Drosophila melanogaster: one gene and its partner. Each later gene encodes a partner of the first gene's protein in a complex. Each region holds a gene or a part of one and is shown in the gene's direction. Other genes may lie near its edges.

What was found.
Region 2: msl-2 (region 1) and msl-1 share a complex: the UniProt entries of both Drosophila melanogaster proteins name them as parts of the male-specific lethal (MSL) histone acetyltransferase complex.

The regions. Positions count from the first base shown.
Region 1 is NT_033779.5:3,461,277-3,469,161, reverse strand, and holds msl-2 (male-specific lethal 2), read left to right. Parts: upstream 1-3,049; 5' UTR 3,050-3,110; exon of another isoform or gene 3,111-3,243; 5' UTR 3,244-3,522; coding exon 3,523-5,455; intron 5,456-5,507; coding exon 5,508-5,896; 3' UTR 5,897-6,944; downstream 6,945-7,885. Other genes in the region: Pif1 DNA helicase, read left to right, coding at 1-212, 265-1,311; ND-PDSW (NADH dehydrogenase (ubiquinone) PDSW subunit), read right to left, coding at 1,908-2,029, 2,100-2,375, 2,746-2,827; CG3246 (uncharacterized protein), read left to right, coding at 7,311-7,392, 7,456-7,724, 7,782-7,885. UniProt on the Drosophila melanogaster protein: Limiting component of the male-specific lethal (MSL) histone acetyltransferase complex, a multiprotein complex essential for elevating transcription of the single X chromosome in the male (X chromosome dosage compensation).
Region 2 is NT_033779.5:18,682,390-18,691,348, reverse strand, and holds msl-1 (male-specific lethal 1), read left to right. Parts: upstream 1-2,548; 5' UTR 2,549-2,923; coding exon 2,924-4,162; intron 4,163-4,222; coding exon 4,223-6,103; 3' UTR 6,104-7,629; downstream 7,630-8,959. Other genes in the region: CG10383 (uncharacterized protein), read left to right, coding at 1-232; CG10336 (uncharacterized protein), read right to left, coding at 632-1,555; CG31751 (uncharacterized protein), read right to left, coding at 8,084-8,904. UniProt on the Drosophila melanogaster protein: Component of the male-specific lethal (MSL) histone acetyltransferase complex, a multiprotein complex essential for elevating transcription of the single X chromosome in the male (X chromosome dosage compensation).

The DNA.
Region 1 (7,885 bases):
CCGATGGAACGGTGGCCACGGCCTCCACGGGAGTGGCAGCCTGCCTGATCGGTGGGACCACCTTGCACGCCTTCGCTGGCATAGGAGGAGGAGACGCCACCATGCAGCGGTGTCTGGAGCTGGCTTCCCGACCCGCAAATGCCCAGACGTGGAGGAAGTGCAAGCGGTTGATTATTGACGAGATCTCCATGGTGGACGGACAGTTCTTTGAGGTACTTTATCTTTACTTTGAATTCAGCAAGGTGTTAACAATTATTTTCCCAGAAAATTGAAGCCGTCGCACGTCACATTCGGCGCAATGATCGCCCCTTTGGCGGCATACAGCTCATCCTGTGTGGTGACTTCTTGCAACTGCCTCCGGTCATAAAGGGAGATTTTGGTGCAGCCCCCACTGCCACGCCCCAGCAACGATTCTGCTTTCAGTCCTCCGCATGGGAGACTTGCATCCAGTGTGTCTACGAACTGAAGCAAGTGCATCGGCAATCGGATCCGGAGTTTGTAAAGATTCTGAACCACCTCCGAATTGGCCATGTGAACGATTCCATAACCAGTCGACTTGCAGCTACATCAAAGCAGAAAATTGAGGGAAACGGCATTCTGGCCACTCAACTCTGCTCCCACACAAACGATGCGAACTCCATTAACGAGTCCAAGCTGGAAAACCTCGATGGCGACAAGATTTTATTCAAGGCTGACGACTCCGATGCCAGCATGACCAGGACACTGGATCAACAGATCCAGGCTCCATCTCAGTTGTACCTAAAAGTTAACGCCCAAGTAATGCTACTCAAGAATATAAACATATCCAATGGACTGGTGAACGGAGCTCGAGGCGTCGTTGTAAGAATGGAGAAGGATCTGCCAGTGGTAAGGTTCAAAAACAACCAGGAATACGTTTGCAAGCACGAAAGGTGGATAATAAAGACCGCCTCAGGAAACCATATAACACGACGCCAAGTGCCACTGAAGTTAGCCTGGGCATTTTCCATACACAAGAGTCAGGGACTAACCCTCGACTGCGTGGAGATGTCCCTTTCCAAAGTATTTGAGGCTGGACAGGCCTATGTGGCCTTATCCCGTGCGAAATCCCTGCAGTCCATTCGCATCCTGGACTTTGACGCCAAGCAAGTGTGGGCCAATCCACACGTGCTGCAGTTCTACAAGGGATTCAGACGCAAGCTAATGGACACAACCATGATACCATTGGGTCCCAAAAACAAGGACAAGAAGCCAGGAGACAAGGCCGCAAATAGCGCTCTGGCTAAGCTCAAAAAGAGTCTCATCAACAAGCCGCTGGTCTCGATTAGCTGAGCTCGAAAGTAATCTAAGATAGCGTAATTCTAGAAAGCTTGAACAAATTTCACTATTGCCTATCTATTGGTATCTATTTCTAAAAGTGTAATTTTTTCTTTTTTTAAGAAAAGCAAATGATTTATGGACTGTGCATTCCTTTTTTTAAAAAATGAGAAATTATGGAACTCTTTTTGAAATTGTCTAAATTTTCGAAAAAGTCTGAAGAATTACAGTGTGAGTTTTATGATTTATCACTATATTCTGTAAACTTATTGCAGTACGCAGGCAAAAACTTTATTTTACTCACTGGAACAACTTAACCAAGGCTCTTAATCTTGAGAACTATTAGTTTTAAGCTAGTCTATAGCCAAAATTCTATATCAAACGCCAATATTAATATTTATTTTAAGAAAAACATGACTAAGAATAAATGCAACTAATAGACAAATGAATTGAAACTGCTGTAGTAATAAATAATTCCTAGTAGCTCTTACCTTATAATTTACACTGAAACAATTGAAAGAAAGCTCAATCCTTGGGAATATCGTTTTACGGCGTGTATATTTTGTTTTAACGGATAATGAAACTAGAAAACATCATCATAAAAGCGGAGTTTAATGGGCGGCCTCCTCCTTCATGCCACTGCCCACTGGTCCATGACGACGCTCCCAGATCAGACGATGCTTCTGCTTCATGTACGCGGTCTTGGCATTGGCGTAGCCTCCCAAGTCGCCATCTATAATGGGTTATATCTCGTTATATATCACATACAACTTTAAAGAAGATGGGTAAGGGATTCCACTCACACTTGATGAACCAGTTCTCGGTGGCCTTCTCGTACTGATCCATCAGCGGCCTGCACTTGACCATGTGATCGGGTGCCTCGTAGAGGGTGCAGTCCTCGAAGCGCTGGCGCAGAATGTTGACAATCTCGTTGTCGACCATGCGATCCCGGCGGAACTGCTGATCGGCCTCGAAACGGCAGACGGCATCGTCCGTGTAGCACTGGTCGATCGTCGGAACGCGGCGGAAGCGCTGGTGGTACCAATTCTGCTTCTGCTGGTTCGGCTCCACAATGCTCTCTGTGGGATTAACACAAGGCGCATTAATAAAATATACTAGCTGTAATGCATTTCTGTTGAAAAACATGATCCCGCTTTGACTAGATGAACTATATAGTAACGGACGGCATTTAAGGGCTGCCGACTAGTATTCTAAGAGATTTAGTTTGCGCTAGCTAGAAATTACTTAAAACGGTTGATTATAAACATTTTAGCATTTCAGCAATACAGTGTAAACAAAAACAAATGGACTGCGAGTTGAGGTTATGTCATTATGTAATTGTCTGGAATTTGTCCGGTTTTTCCGATCGTTGGCCAAAGGAAACGCAAACTTGCAGCATCTGGAGACTCCCATGACCATGGCCATTGGGAATCCCTGTGGACTACATACCACGGAACCAAGTTATGGGTCCATCGATGACATTCAGCACCGACTCGGCAAAACTGGCCATCGGACTGCGCGGTTCCGGCATTTTCTGGCTCTCCTACCACCTGGCGTAAGCGGAAGAGCTGTTAGTAAATAATTTCCAAGGTTTTCCGCTTTCCTTTGACGGAAAATACTTAAAAAACCATATTTACTTGAAAAACTAAGTGTTAAAATTTGTTGTAGGACCGCAGTTCGTAACTGCGAAAATTCCTCAGAGCACTGAAATCAGCTGTTCGAGGTAGTGGTCACACCTATGCCGCACTGCAGCTAGCATGTTCGCACTGGCACACTGCGGTCACACTGGCTTCGCTCAGCAAAATATTGCTTGGGTAATTTTTTTTTTTAGTTGCTAATTTATTGTTTTCAACGCTGTTGCACAGTGTGCAGCATAACCATTAACAATGACTTGAGACCTCTCAAACGTAAACCAATTTTTTTTTTTTTTTTGCACGTGAAACATAGTGATAACGAAGCCACAAAAGTGAAACCAACAAAAAGCGTTCCAGTAAAGTTACCATTAGATAATGAAATCGAGGATTAACGCGGTCTAAGCATGTGTAACTGAGCTCCTACGGGCGAGGAATTGCAGGTAACTAGCCCAGGAGGCACCAGGTAGCGGAGCAGGTGGCGTGGGTCGGACCGACAAGGCACTTACTTGGCCAGCGGAGTCTCACTTTTGGGCTGAAAAACGTAAACAAACAGCGGCGTGCGTACAGTCCCGGGCATAAAAATATAGCCATCATGGCCCAGACGGCATACTTGAAGGTGACACGCATCGCGATGCGCTCCGCTTCGAATCTTTCCAAACGGCGGGTGGAGGAGCTGAACTCCGGGCTCGGCGAGCTACGGCAGCTGCTGTCTTGCGTGGTCTGCTGCCAGCTGCTGGTGGATCCCTACTCGCCCAAGGGCAAGCGGTGCCAGCACAACGTGTGCCGGCTGTGTCTGCGCGGTAAGAAGCATCTGTTTCCCAGCTGCACCCAGTGCGAGGGTTGCTCCGACTTCAAGACCTACGAGGAGAACCGTATGATGGCCGCCCAGCTACTGTGCTACAAGACGCTGTGCGTCCACCTGCTCCACTCGGCATTATTTGGTGAGCTGGCCGGGATGCGGCCCCAGGTGGCCAGGGAGCTGGTGCCTCGCATCAAGCTGCCTCCCAAAACCACACAGGAGTTCATTCGCGAGGGCTCAAACATCTCCGACACTTTTGACATCTTTCTGCCCCAGCCGGATTTGCCGTTCCTCAAGGACATGCCCACATCGCTGCCCGCAGAGACGCCGCCTACGTCGGCGGTCACGACTCCGGAACTGCCCTATGATCACCACCTCAACATCAGCGACATTGAGGCGGAGGCGGCGGCCACAGCGGAGCAGGGTCACTTCTCGCCGCTTCCCCTGCTGCCCACAGGATCTCGCATGGGCATGCTCTCTCACGCCGGGCAAATAGTCATTGCCACCGAGAGCTCGGAGTCGGGCTTCATGGACCAAGCGTGGACGGATCAGGTAGACCTGTCTGGCACGGTTTCGGTGTCCAAATACACAAATAGCGGCAACAACTTTGCTGTCTCCTACGTGATGCCCACTTCTGCGACCACGAAGTTCGATCCACAGGAACTGCAAATCGGCCAGGTGGTGCAAATGGCGGACTCCACTCAGTTGGCTGTGCTGGCTGCCGTTGAGGAGACCGTCGAGACGTCCACACAGTTGACTGTGCTCTCCACCACCGTTGAAGAGACCGTTGAAACATCCACGCAGCTAGAAGTGCTTACCTCCGCTGAGGAACCCAACGAAATCTCTGATCAATTGGCTAATCTGCAAGTTGAGGAATCTGATGAGGCTCTGGTTGAAGAGACCGTTGAAGAGGCCGAAGGGACCTCAATCCCGTCAGAGGTTGTAGCTGAGCACATGGAGGAGGATCAACACTTGGATGTGCACACTTCACAGTCACCTACACAAACCGAAATGGAGGAAGCAGTGGAGGAGCATGTTGCCACAAAAACACAATTGGGTCATGTGCAAACAGAATTGCAGGATGCGGAGTCGTTGCAGAAAGATTTTGAGGACGCAAAGGCAGCGGCTGAAGAGGCGAAGGAGAAGGAGAAGGACCTGCACGCAATCAGTGCTGAGCTGCAGAAGGAGGACAGTGACGAGCCAACACTTAAGCGAAAGAGAACCCGTACTCTCAAAGCGTCACAAGCTGCCAAAATTGAGCCTGTACCGTCTGAGGTCAAGACTAAAGTGCAATCTGGAAAGGGCGCTCTTCGCAGGATTCGGGGCAAGGACAAGGAGGAAAAGGTGAAGCCTCCGAAGCCGAAGTGCCGCTGCGGTATCTCCGGCTCGAGCAATACCCTCACCACCTGCCGGAATTCCCGATGTCCTTGCTACAAGAGTTACAACAGCTGTGCCGGGTGTCATTGCGTGTGCTGCAAGAATCCGCACAAGGAGGACTACGTTGAAAGTGATGAGGACGATGATTTGGAGGATTTCGAAATGCCGAAGGACGTTCCAGAGCCGATGACTCAGTCGGAGGAGCCGGTGGTAGCTGAGCCTAGGCAGGAGGAGAACAGTATGGCGCCGCCAGACTCTTCTGCCCCCATAAGCCTAGTGCCGCTAAATAATTTGCAGCAATCCCAGCATCCTTTGGTGCTTGTTCAGAATGAGAAAGGCGAGTACCAGGGTAAGTTACCTCATCGCTGTGTTAGACCTATCTAACCCTGTTCCAATTGCAGGCTTCAATATCTTCCAGGGCAGCAAGCCCCTTGATCCGGTCACCGTTGGCTTCACTATTCGTGTCCAGCTGCAGCACACCGATGGCTTCGGTTCCCTTCCCCAGTATGCTTATATAATGCCAACAATTGACCCGCCGAATCCACCAGCTCCATCACTTTCGCCACCACCGCCTCCTGCTCCTGACAGGGAAGTCATCGAGCCACCGGCCAAGAAATTCAGGACCAGTCGAACACGCCGAGGAAGGGCCAACTTCTCGGCCCTCGACACGGTGGATGAGCTTGTCAGTGGCGGATCCAGGAGCAATTCTGCCGCTGGCGACAGATCATCGGCCACTGACAATGCCCATTCACTGTTCGAGGAGATCATGTCGGGCTCGGATGACTTGTAAGCAAGACGACTCATCCCTATATGTTTGTTTTTTTATGTGCTCAGTGATGTCCAGGTATCAATCCTTTAATAGATAATTTTTATGTACGTTATGGATGGTCGAATTCAGCACTGAATTGCATCCATAACGTGGTATCGTCTTTGATCCTCTTATCATACCCGTTATTCGTAGAGTAAAAGGGTATACTAGATGTGTTTCCGACCATGTAAAGTATATATATTCTTGATCAGGATCAATAGTCGAGTCGATCTGGCCCTGTCCGTATGAATGTCTCGATCTCAGGAACTATAAAAGCTAGAAGGTTGAGATTAAGCATATAAATTCTAGAGACATAGATGCAGCGCTTGGTTGTTTACCCATGTTGCCACGCCCACTTACCGCCCAAAACTTCCACGCCCACAATTTTAAATTTTTTCTCATTTTATTTCCCAATATCTCTTGGATATCCCAGAAAAATGATGAAATTTCGCGTTCGTATTTCCACTAGCTGAGTAACGGGTATCTGATAGTCGGGAAATTCGACTTTAGCATTCTCTCTTGTTTTTAACTTGTGGTTTCGTTATGCTATATATTCCCCCACTCAAACAACTTCCACTCAAATCAACTCCCAAATATCTTTTAGGAGCATTCTACAATCTGATTTTTGTAATCATCCAGCAAACGTTTCCAAAACTCAATTTTTTTTTAATACGTATTAAGCCAAAAGTCGTATACATAACTATTTAAAGCAATTCTGCAGCTGCAGCAAAGATAATCTATTTAAGAGTAAAGCATTAGTCAAAACTAAAGATTATTTTCGTTCAACGAACAGCGAATTATAGATTGCTTTGCCCAAAATGTGGATGCTGTGAGCTAAAAAAAACCTTTTTTTTTAATAGGCTAAGACATTTTTTTGAATAGGCTAAGACTTTTTTTGAGCATGAATTTTTTTGAGCACGTGAACCTAGGATTAAGAACAACAATTCAAGTAAGCCATATATACCCATATTATATATGCGAACATATAACTATTAAAATATTCAAATAAAAATGAGCATTGCTACTACAGAAAAATGCGCGATTTTCTTTGGGTTTCAAAACCGTTTTCGAACCGTAACACTCTTTGCCTCATGCAAGCTGCTAGTTCATGATTTCTAGAACATCGTTCCTGGGAGTGGAGTGAGTTCCATGAGTGCCTACAATGTGCTGGCCGCTTCCGCTCACTTAAGTCACTCAATCTCAATTCCGAGTTTAATCAGCAGCTCCGCGAGCAGAGTCGCCCTTAGATAAGCGGATCGCCGCCTGCGGCTCATCATTATCTTTTGATTAACGCGCCAGTCGACAGTGCGTGTTTGTTCCGAGTAGAGAACGGAGGCTGGCGCGTTTTCTTCCATTTTCCAACTGATAAGCAGAAGCTCCAGCTAATCCCCGAAAGATGAAGCCGTTGATAGTGGTCGTGCTCGTGGGCCTGATGGCAAGTGGCTGCCACATTGTTCACTCCCAGGAGCCTGGCGATGGTAAGACGAATTCCAGTCTGAGCTCTACCGGAACTAAGCCACTCATTAATGACCTTTGAGCAGCTGTGGAGCAGGAAGCCAGCGAGTCGGATGACGCACTTAAGATCAAAGAGAGTCAGGCCAGCATAGCCGCCCAGGTGGAGGCCATGCTCGTGCACTTTCAGCAGGAGGATCCGCAGGGTCTGCCCGGCGTGCCCGTGCCCGATCCGTTGGAGGTGCCCAATGTGAAGAAGAGCATGGGCATGGCCAATCTGGACATGAAGCAGGTCAAGGCGTATGGCTTGTCCAAGTTCCGCATTGATAAAATGAACCTAGACCTGAAGGAAATGAGAGTAAGTTTTCAAGTTGAATTCGAATTGGCTTGAAGTTTCCACTCCTCTGTCCTGCAGTTCAACGGTGGCCTCCAGCTGGACCAGATGCTGGTCAAGGGCCAGTACACCCTCAGTTCATTCTTTTCGAAAGCCAATGGACCCTTTACAGTAGTCCTGAAGAA
Region 2 (8,959 bases), about 15 Mb from region 1:
TCACTTGAGTCTCTCCAAGCCCATTTACAGGCAATCGTTTCTGTATCAGAGATTATTGCACGTGATCCGCGAGGCCATTAAGGAACGATCAGATCCCAAAGATCAGGATGGCCAGTCACAAAGCACTTCGAATCAAGATGTAGTGCTTGTCAAGATCGTAGCTGCTCTGTTGGAGGGAGCCAAGGGTCTGTTCGAATCGCTGCCCAGAGTCGCCCTCAGATTTAGCACTTAGGATGGGCCAAGTCCCACTAAACACCAGTACCCTAATAGTATCCCGACTAGTCTTTAAAGACTTGTAAAGTATTTTCTACACGAACCCTCACCATCATGACCATTCATCTTTGTAAATACTCCAGCACTCCATATAGTTTTTTACACCCGAATCCTAACTTATTATTCTCGGTCTCCGACTAAAACGTTTGAATAAAGATACATGTGTAACACTAATGCGAGTGGTTTTAATACGATTAAGGGTATATTTAAAGTGATATTCATCAAAGATCGAAGTACAGAAAAATCAATTTAGATATTAAGTACCGCGCATTAACTTTCAACGTAGCTTATTCATTTATTTTTATAAATTATCCTTTGAAAATTATAAAAATATGCGTTTTTATATCATAAATATACACTAACTTTTACTTCCGCTCTCCTGCTGCTGCTTGGCCTTAAGTCGCTCCTGCGCCAGCCTGCGGTTTTCCGCAATCCTGGCCATCTGTTCGTTGGATAATTTCTTAGCCGCCGGCGTGGGAGGCTGTGAGGGAGGCAGCGGCTGACCATAGTCGCTGATGTCCATCGATGCCAACGGAGCTCCATTCCGATCGAAGGCCGGAGCCACAGAAGCTCCACTTCTGTCGAAGGTCGCATTTACACCGGAGTACGGCGTGGACATTACAGCATTGCCGCGGGAGAATGACGGAGTAGCCAGCGTGCTGTTACTGGAAGCAGTAGACATTTTCCACTGCTGCGGGCTGGGAGGCGCCAGCCTGGACATGGCAATCTGTTCACCTAGCAGGGCGTCGAACTCATCAAAGGGTTCATCGCCGGCACCTTCCTGTTGCTCATCCTGCGCCTCCTCCAGGGCCTCCGCTTCGTGGGCGCGCATCTGCTCCAGCTGACCGAGTCGATATCGCGCCATGTGCACTTGGAGGGGTTTCTTCTTGCCCAGCCGTTCGATATTGTTAAGCACATCGTCAAAGGTGTAGGTGGGATACATACGATGGCCCCAGTGCTGCAGGCGGCGAAGCACCTCGTCGAGATCGGTTTTCTCGTAACCCTTGCCCTTGAATTTGATGTCCTTAAAATAATCTTCGATGGTCTGGATGCCACGAGGACCTCGAAGTGTTTCCACAGTGAGTCGCGGTCGGGGATTTCTCACAGCTCGCTTCTTAGGCTCCACTATCTGGGCATCCTGGCTACCAGGTTCTACGCCGTTGTCCTCGTCGTCCGCAAACAGCTTTTCGCCTTCGCCATCGCTGGGCAGCTGATCCGGGTCAGTCGGAATGTTGTCATTGAATAGGTCATCCACACCATCATCTCCGAACAGGGATGCCATAGAACTAGTGGCCGAAACTTAAATACCAAATAAACAATCTAACAAAATTTTGGCGCCAATTTTTGTTCTTCTTCTCTATCTACCATTCACAGGCGACGCTTGCATAAGTCACAGGGGGCTGCCAACTGAACAGCTCTTTGTTCTTTTAATTTTCCGATTACATAACTATTTGGTCTTTCCCAAAGGCTATTTTGATTTGCTTAGACATATTTTCATTAGTGGGTGGCACTAAAGGTAATTTGTACAGCCAACCCGGCTTTTGCATTGGTGGCAGCAGACATAAGAGATGGCAGCGTGACACGTTTTTTTTATCACTAAGCGACACATTGGCGTCACGAGTTTTTGTTATTCTATTATATTTATACCATTATACAAGGAAGGATAATTCATCCAAAGATTGTAGTTATTTAAATTTAGTGAAATATTTAAAAGGAGTTGGTAATGTAATAAAATTACCAAAAAAAATAAAATAAAATCAATACATTATTAGCTAGCTAGTTTCTTTTTCATCTATTTTCTCATTCCAATTACTCATACCACATAAAAATTGAAAATAATTATCCGGGGAGCAACGGAAGATTATTATTTACGTTGAGAGAAACTGTCCTCTTTTAACTGCTATCCTTGTGGTCTGGCAGAGTAAGAAATAAAAATGTGTTTAACGACATTTAGTCGGAGTTGACGAGCTGCCGCTCTTTATTCTGGTAACTGCAAATTTAAGCTGAAACTTAAAATGATTCTTAAAGCTAACAAAGACTCCGGCCCAATGCTGTCTCAGCACTTTGATATTATGTTTCATACACTAAGCCAACTGTACTAGTTCGTCGGCTCGTGTTAACTTAGCTATTAGCTATTATGTGCAACAAAGTACAGTTTCGTGAAAATATTTTCACTTCGTGACTGTCGTGCTCAGCTCGTGCATCGCAGCAAATTGCCATCTCTATGCCCCCAATCAACTCTGCGCTTTGGCGAAAAGTGGCAACGCCAGCAAAACGCCATACTTTTAAGAGCATTTTCGGGGCGACTTTACATTGTGAGGACAATTGTGGAAAAAGCGGTGAAAGAACGTTCAAAAACGAACCGAAAAACTGCTGCCTAAATGCGGTCACCACGTGCGATAAGAACGCCACGTTTAAAACGATAAATCCATTAGATTCTGGCCAAGAAAAGAGCGGTTCTTTTGCGAGGGCGAGCAAGGAAAATTTAGTGTGGTGCGAAATTGTAATCGGGATTCTACGCATTGTACGGCGTATCAGCTGAAGAGATTGTGTGCACCCCAAGCGACGCAAACAAAACCAAAACAAAACAAAAACATTTGGAGAATTATGAGATCGTAGGACCGACGGCACGGGATTCAATTCGACTGCCATGGACAAGCGATTCAAGTGGCCGCCCAAAAAGCGGGCCAACTACTTGGAATCGCCCTATCCCCACATACCGTCGCGTGGCCGCCAAAGGAATCTGCACGGCCATCCCAATCAGACGCAGCATCTTCATCAGCATCCCGGGAAGATCTATGAGCGCCAGCAATATGGCAATGGTCGTGGAGGACATGGCGGGGGTAATAACAACTACCGAAAGCTTTTGCATTCGCTGCCAGCTGAGCATGGTGGCGGAGCCATGGCTCCTCCTTCCTCCGGCGGAACCGTGTGTGCCGGCGCCGATATGGTCAAGCTCATCTCGGAGAACAACAACCTGAGGCGCATGGTTATGTTGAACTTAAACCTGATGCAGGAGCAGACGGACAGCATAGCGGCCAAGGACAAGGAGCTGGACGACCAAAGCGCTAAGATGAGCGTGGTGAAGGCGCAGAATGAGGAATTAAAGCAGGCCGTTGCTCAGTTGGAGGCCGCCAACCAGGAACTATGCAAACAGCTGCGGCGAAAGAACCAGCGAAGGAACGACAATGACGACGACGACGATGATCCCCCACTGCCACCTGCTGCCCCGCAGCAGAAGTTGATACGTTGTCATGCTGAGACGCAAACTGTGTTTCGGGAGCGGGAACAGGGCACACAAACGATAGATGCGCAGCCTCAATTCGCGAATGCACTTCCCAGGGGTATCAACATGAAGGAGTCTCCCGCTCTGGACCATCACGCTGGAGCGGTAACGAATCAGCCAGCCAGCAAACGCTCGGAGAGCAAAGGCCGCGGTGAATTCAACGGTAAAAAGGTGAGCACGTTTATTCTCCAGCGCATGAATCAGGACTTCGAGCACCACATCCACGAGCAAACGGAAGTAGCAGAGGAGCACGAGATGGAGGCACATAAGGAGCAAATATCTCAGGAAGAGGACCAACTGGTCGCTGAGGAAGATCATCTGCATATGCAAGAAGTGCACACCGAGGAAGTCGTTGGAGGCGATATCTTTCATGATGCTTTGGAATCAATTGAAATGGAAGTGGTCACCGAAGAGCTGGTTGATATGGAGGAGCATGGACAGTCCGTGGATGCCAACGGCCATATCGAGGAGGATGATGACGAGGACGACGAAGATGACGAGAATAGTGATAAAGACGATGACAGTGAAGAGGATGATTATCCGTGGATGCATAGCGATGCGGATGTAAACGCCAGAACTGAGGAAGAGCTCTGGCAGAATCAGGTATGTTTAATGTTATTATTTAATTAAAAGAATATATCGAGCAATCCTTTACTCTTTCAGAATTACCTTTTGGAATTGGACCCGACGGAGGAGAAGACCTGTGCGCCTTCGGCCCATTCAACTCCCAATCACCAGCAGAAGTCTTCGACACAGGCAGAGATAAGGAAAGAAGGAAATCAGAATCGGATAACTGAAAAGTTGTTGCAACTAAAGCCTGAGCCAATGGTAGATGCATTAGAAGCGCCGATTCTCCCGAAGTGGGTGGCTTTTAAGAAAAAGGATAAGGAACATGAATCAGTCCCCGAGTCCCCAGAAGTACCCAAGCAGCAGCCGCATCAGGAAGATGCCATCGTTGATCATAATGCAATAAAGAATCAGTTGGAAGTTCCCAAGCCGGACTTAAAACCGAAGGACCAGCCCAAAGACGAACAGAGGCAGGATGGGCAGCTGGATGTTCGCGTGGAACCACAAGAGGATGTTCGTAAGGTACAGAAGGAAACTCTGAAAAGGCAACCAGAGGATGCACCTAAGCACCTTCCGAAAGCGGTAGCCCCAAAGGTTACGAAAACATCCTCTCGAGAAAGCACGTTGCCCAAGGCAAACACCGCTGACATAAAAGACGCTCCCGCTCAAAAAGTAATAGCCAACCATCAGTCCACCAAGACGCAAACGGATCCTGTAAAAACGCAGCGTTTGCAGGTTAAGATCAGGCAGTATGAAATGCATCCTGACATGAGAACCGGCTCCTCCGCCCCGTCTGATATTCGGAAACAAAAGAACGTTGATCCAGTTTCGACGCCCGAGACGAAAACCATTAAAAGTAAAAGTATGTTGGTCAATGATAAAAAGACCACGTCGGAAACGTCTCAGAGCCCAGATCAAGAAATAGATGTGGAAACAGTTAGAAGAAAACTGGCGGAACATTTAAAAAAGGAGCTCCTAAGCCAGAGTCATTCGTCACAGGTTACGCTCAAGAAAATAAGAGAGAGAGTCGCCACAAATCTAATATATCCACCACCCAGTGCACCAGTATCCTCAACAACAATAACCCCAGCGCCTACGCCGTCAACGACACCAACGCCTGGCTCAACGCCACAGCATGCGGTTACATCCTCAATGGACCAGGAAATATCTGCAGCAAAATCGAAATCCAAGGCAGCTGAACAAATAGCAACTCCTCTGACACCTCAATCTAATAGCAGTGTTAGCAGCACCACTTCGACTATCCGAAAAACGCTAAACAACTGTTCACCCCACACGTACAGCAAGGCAACGGCGAGATCGGGAAAACTGCAGTCCAGATTCCGCACTGCCACGTTTCCGTACAGCACGAGAACGTGGGAGGATCAGGAGTTCCACTGTGACAACGAGTTCTTCCTGGAGGAGGCCGACGAGCTGCTGGCGGATAACCCTAGTCTGGAGATACCCAAGTGGCGGGATGTCCCAGTGCCACCCAGTTCGGATAAAATTGACACAGAATTACTGAGCGATGCGACCTTCGAGCGCCGGCACCAGAAATATGTGAAGGATGAGGTCGATCGAAAGTGTAGGGATGCACGTTATATGAAGGAGCAGATACGGCTTGAACAGCTTCGGATGCGACGGAACCAAGACGAGGTGTTGGTTGCGCTGGATCCTCTGCGCGCCTCCACTTTCTACCCGCTGCCCGAGGACATAGAGGCCATCCAATTCGTCAACGAGGTGACAGTTCAGGCATTCGGCGAAAACGTGGTCAACATGGAGGCGCGGGATGATTTCGGTGTGCCTTGGGTGGATGCAATCGAAGCGCCAACCTCCATAGCCAGGTCCAAGGCACTGGCTGAGCCGGTGGCAACGTTGGCTAGCAAAAAAATACCCACCACTGCTGCCGAGGCGAGGCATCAAGAAAATCACTCCTCCTACGTGTTTCCCAAGCGACGCAAGCGCCAGAAGAATCGTTAGCCAGGAAACGCCTGGGGGATCTGATACTGGAGCTAAGCAGAAGACTGTCGGTTGGGGGAAGTCGTTGCGTTTGACATACTAATGATTTTCAGTTTTAAATCATGAATTATTTCTTAAGCTTAACGTGAAAGCACCAGAGTTAACAGTAACGATTACCACAGATCGTCTAGAAGTCAAATAATCCAGAGCAGACGATGTTTATTGTATATATGGTTCCTCAACTGTCCGTTTTTATTTGTGTAATAAAATGAACGGAACGCTGAATTCTGGAACATTAGAAATTCTTTGTTATAGAATCTATAAATTTATGTCAAAGTTTTGTCGTTTCTTATGCGATGAGAGATCTTAAAAGGCAAGTAAATTGAGCTGTCCTATTCAAACATTTTTCTATTAAATTGTTATCATATTTATTTCCTTGAAATATAAATAATTCGATCTTATATTAGATGTAAATGAATCCAAATGTTCGTCGCCTGGTCTGGAAATGATTAGTTTTTAGTTAACGTCTTGCAATTGAAAAGAGTTTCACCCTTGCTTGTTTCCAATGTACGTAAATTACTTAGTCCCACACAGCATGTAATTCAAACCAGTCGCTTAGTTAGATTGGTTAACTCATCTCAGCTTTATCACCTTTAAAATCGCCCGCACTAAAGTGATAAGAACACGAAAGATATTCACATAAGTTATATTGGGCATTTTTTTGGAGAAAAACAATGAAATTCGTAGACTTATATTTTTAAATATTTTTTTTCTTTAGCCCTTATAACCATTTTTTTTGTCTTTGTTTATACTGTTATATCTGTCGATTCTCGAATGCAGACAACGTGTGTGTTGCAAAGAGTTACTCAGGTATATCTCTGATAATTTGTCTTTTTTTTTAGGATTTGATTGTGTAAAAATTGAGTGCGAGTGGTTGTCTGCTTCGAGTAATCAAATTATACATTGGATCTATTGTTTTATTTTATTAACTTCATTAAACTTGTTTTATGTTGTATCGAACAAGAAAGGCCGTTAAGATGAAAACTAGATTTGAAGAATAAATATAAAACTGATTCCCGAACTGCACACCCGTTTGGCCTTATGGGCACCATGTATTTTTGGCTAAATATTGTTTCGTTTAACACTTCTTCTGTTTGACTTTCTGTCGCAATGATATGGAGCCTGCCAACGTCCGGAGAAATCAAATCACCAGCTCGCTTTCGAGTGGCGTCTTATTTTTGTACATTTCGATAGGTGTAAAGTCGGTTACTTGTAATATAGCGTTAAGTAGGCACTGTACCCAAACGCATAGAGATAATTATAATGTAACAAAGTAAATACGATACGATGTACATTGTCCAGGAAAAGGAGGAGCGGAGGGTGGATGAACTTCGTTCAACACCATTTTACACCATTCAATGTAATTAGCGTTAAATAGTTCAATTTACTGAAGCTTCAACTAAAAATCAATTCGAAATTAATTGCCACCATTGTAGAGCCCTAAACAAACTCACCTACTGTAAGAATAAATGTACTACATACAATGTATTTGTATTTGTTTAACAAGTTTTATTGTAAAGATAACGATAATAATATACAGGATAAAGTAAATTGTAAAGCAACGAAATGCAATCAATACTTGGACTTGCAACTTATTTTGCACAGGTGATATGTAAATGAAATTCTAATAATTGACAATGGGTTTATTTAACAGGCCTCAATTGATTTTCCAATGACCTGGCATCGCTTGCTTCTGGTTTCCTTAGATGTCTTTTTGTTTGCGATCATCTCGATATAAACTTGTTTAGGGGCTAATTGCAAATGTATTTAATATCTTAGAAAATGCTTCATTATACTCTATATATTGGCTGTGACAATTTTATCTGACCCTCGTTACCTAATGGAAAACATAACATACAAAATCTTCAACAACCAGAATAGCTGGATTGAAAATCAGTTAAAATACCTTTAAAAAACGGAAAAGCCTAACGGAATTTTATATTATTTATTGCTCTGCGTCAAGTACTGGTGTCCAGTGCTTGCCCACAGCTCATCAATATCGTCAAAGCTCTCGCGCCACAGCTTCTGAAGGAGCTTCCATCCCTTTTCCTGGGTCACCAGGAGGTACTCATTTGTGGGATGCAGCGTGTGGGTGTAGAGTCCCATTACCAGGCTCTGAACAAATCGGGCAGTAACACAGTACTTGAGAAGGGCCAGCTCGGAATTCTCAATTGGGTTCAGACTGGTATAACCGGACAGAAATATGCCACCATTGGCCAAATCGTTGGCCTGCAGTATCATATAAGTGAGGGCAATTCCAATTTCGAAGATCAGTGGCGATTTGCTCGTATCACCGAAATCAATAACTCCCTTGATGGTATATTCAGTTTGATTGGGCACCTGCTCCACCACTATATTTTGTTCGTTGAAGTCCCCATGGATGATCTGGTGCTCCATGGATGGCAGTTGGCTCAGAACCTTGGCTTCAAAGGCATCGATCACCTCGTCGCAGATAAGCCGCTGCTCCTGATCCTTCACCACGTACAGGAATTGCCTAAGCTCGGGAACACTCTGAAGCATCCACAAGGTCTTGTGGCTTTCATATGCCTGGTGGGTGAAGTTCTTGAGGGCTCGATCCAACCTGGCCAAGTATTCGCCGCTGCGGTAGAGCAGGTGCTTCGTCACCGGCACCTGGTGGAAGATTTCTCCCGGTATAAATTCCAGCAGTCGCACCACATTCGAATTCCCATTCAGCCGTTCCACAGAGTAATACTTTCCTGTTGCATTGGCTACTGGTCGTGGGCATTTCACACTGTGTTTTCCTAGGGAATACGATTGCATTGTCAATTTGCTGATGATTTGGCTAGCAATTCTTAC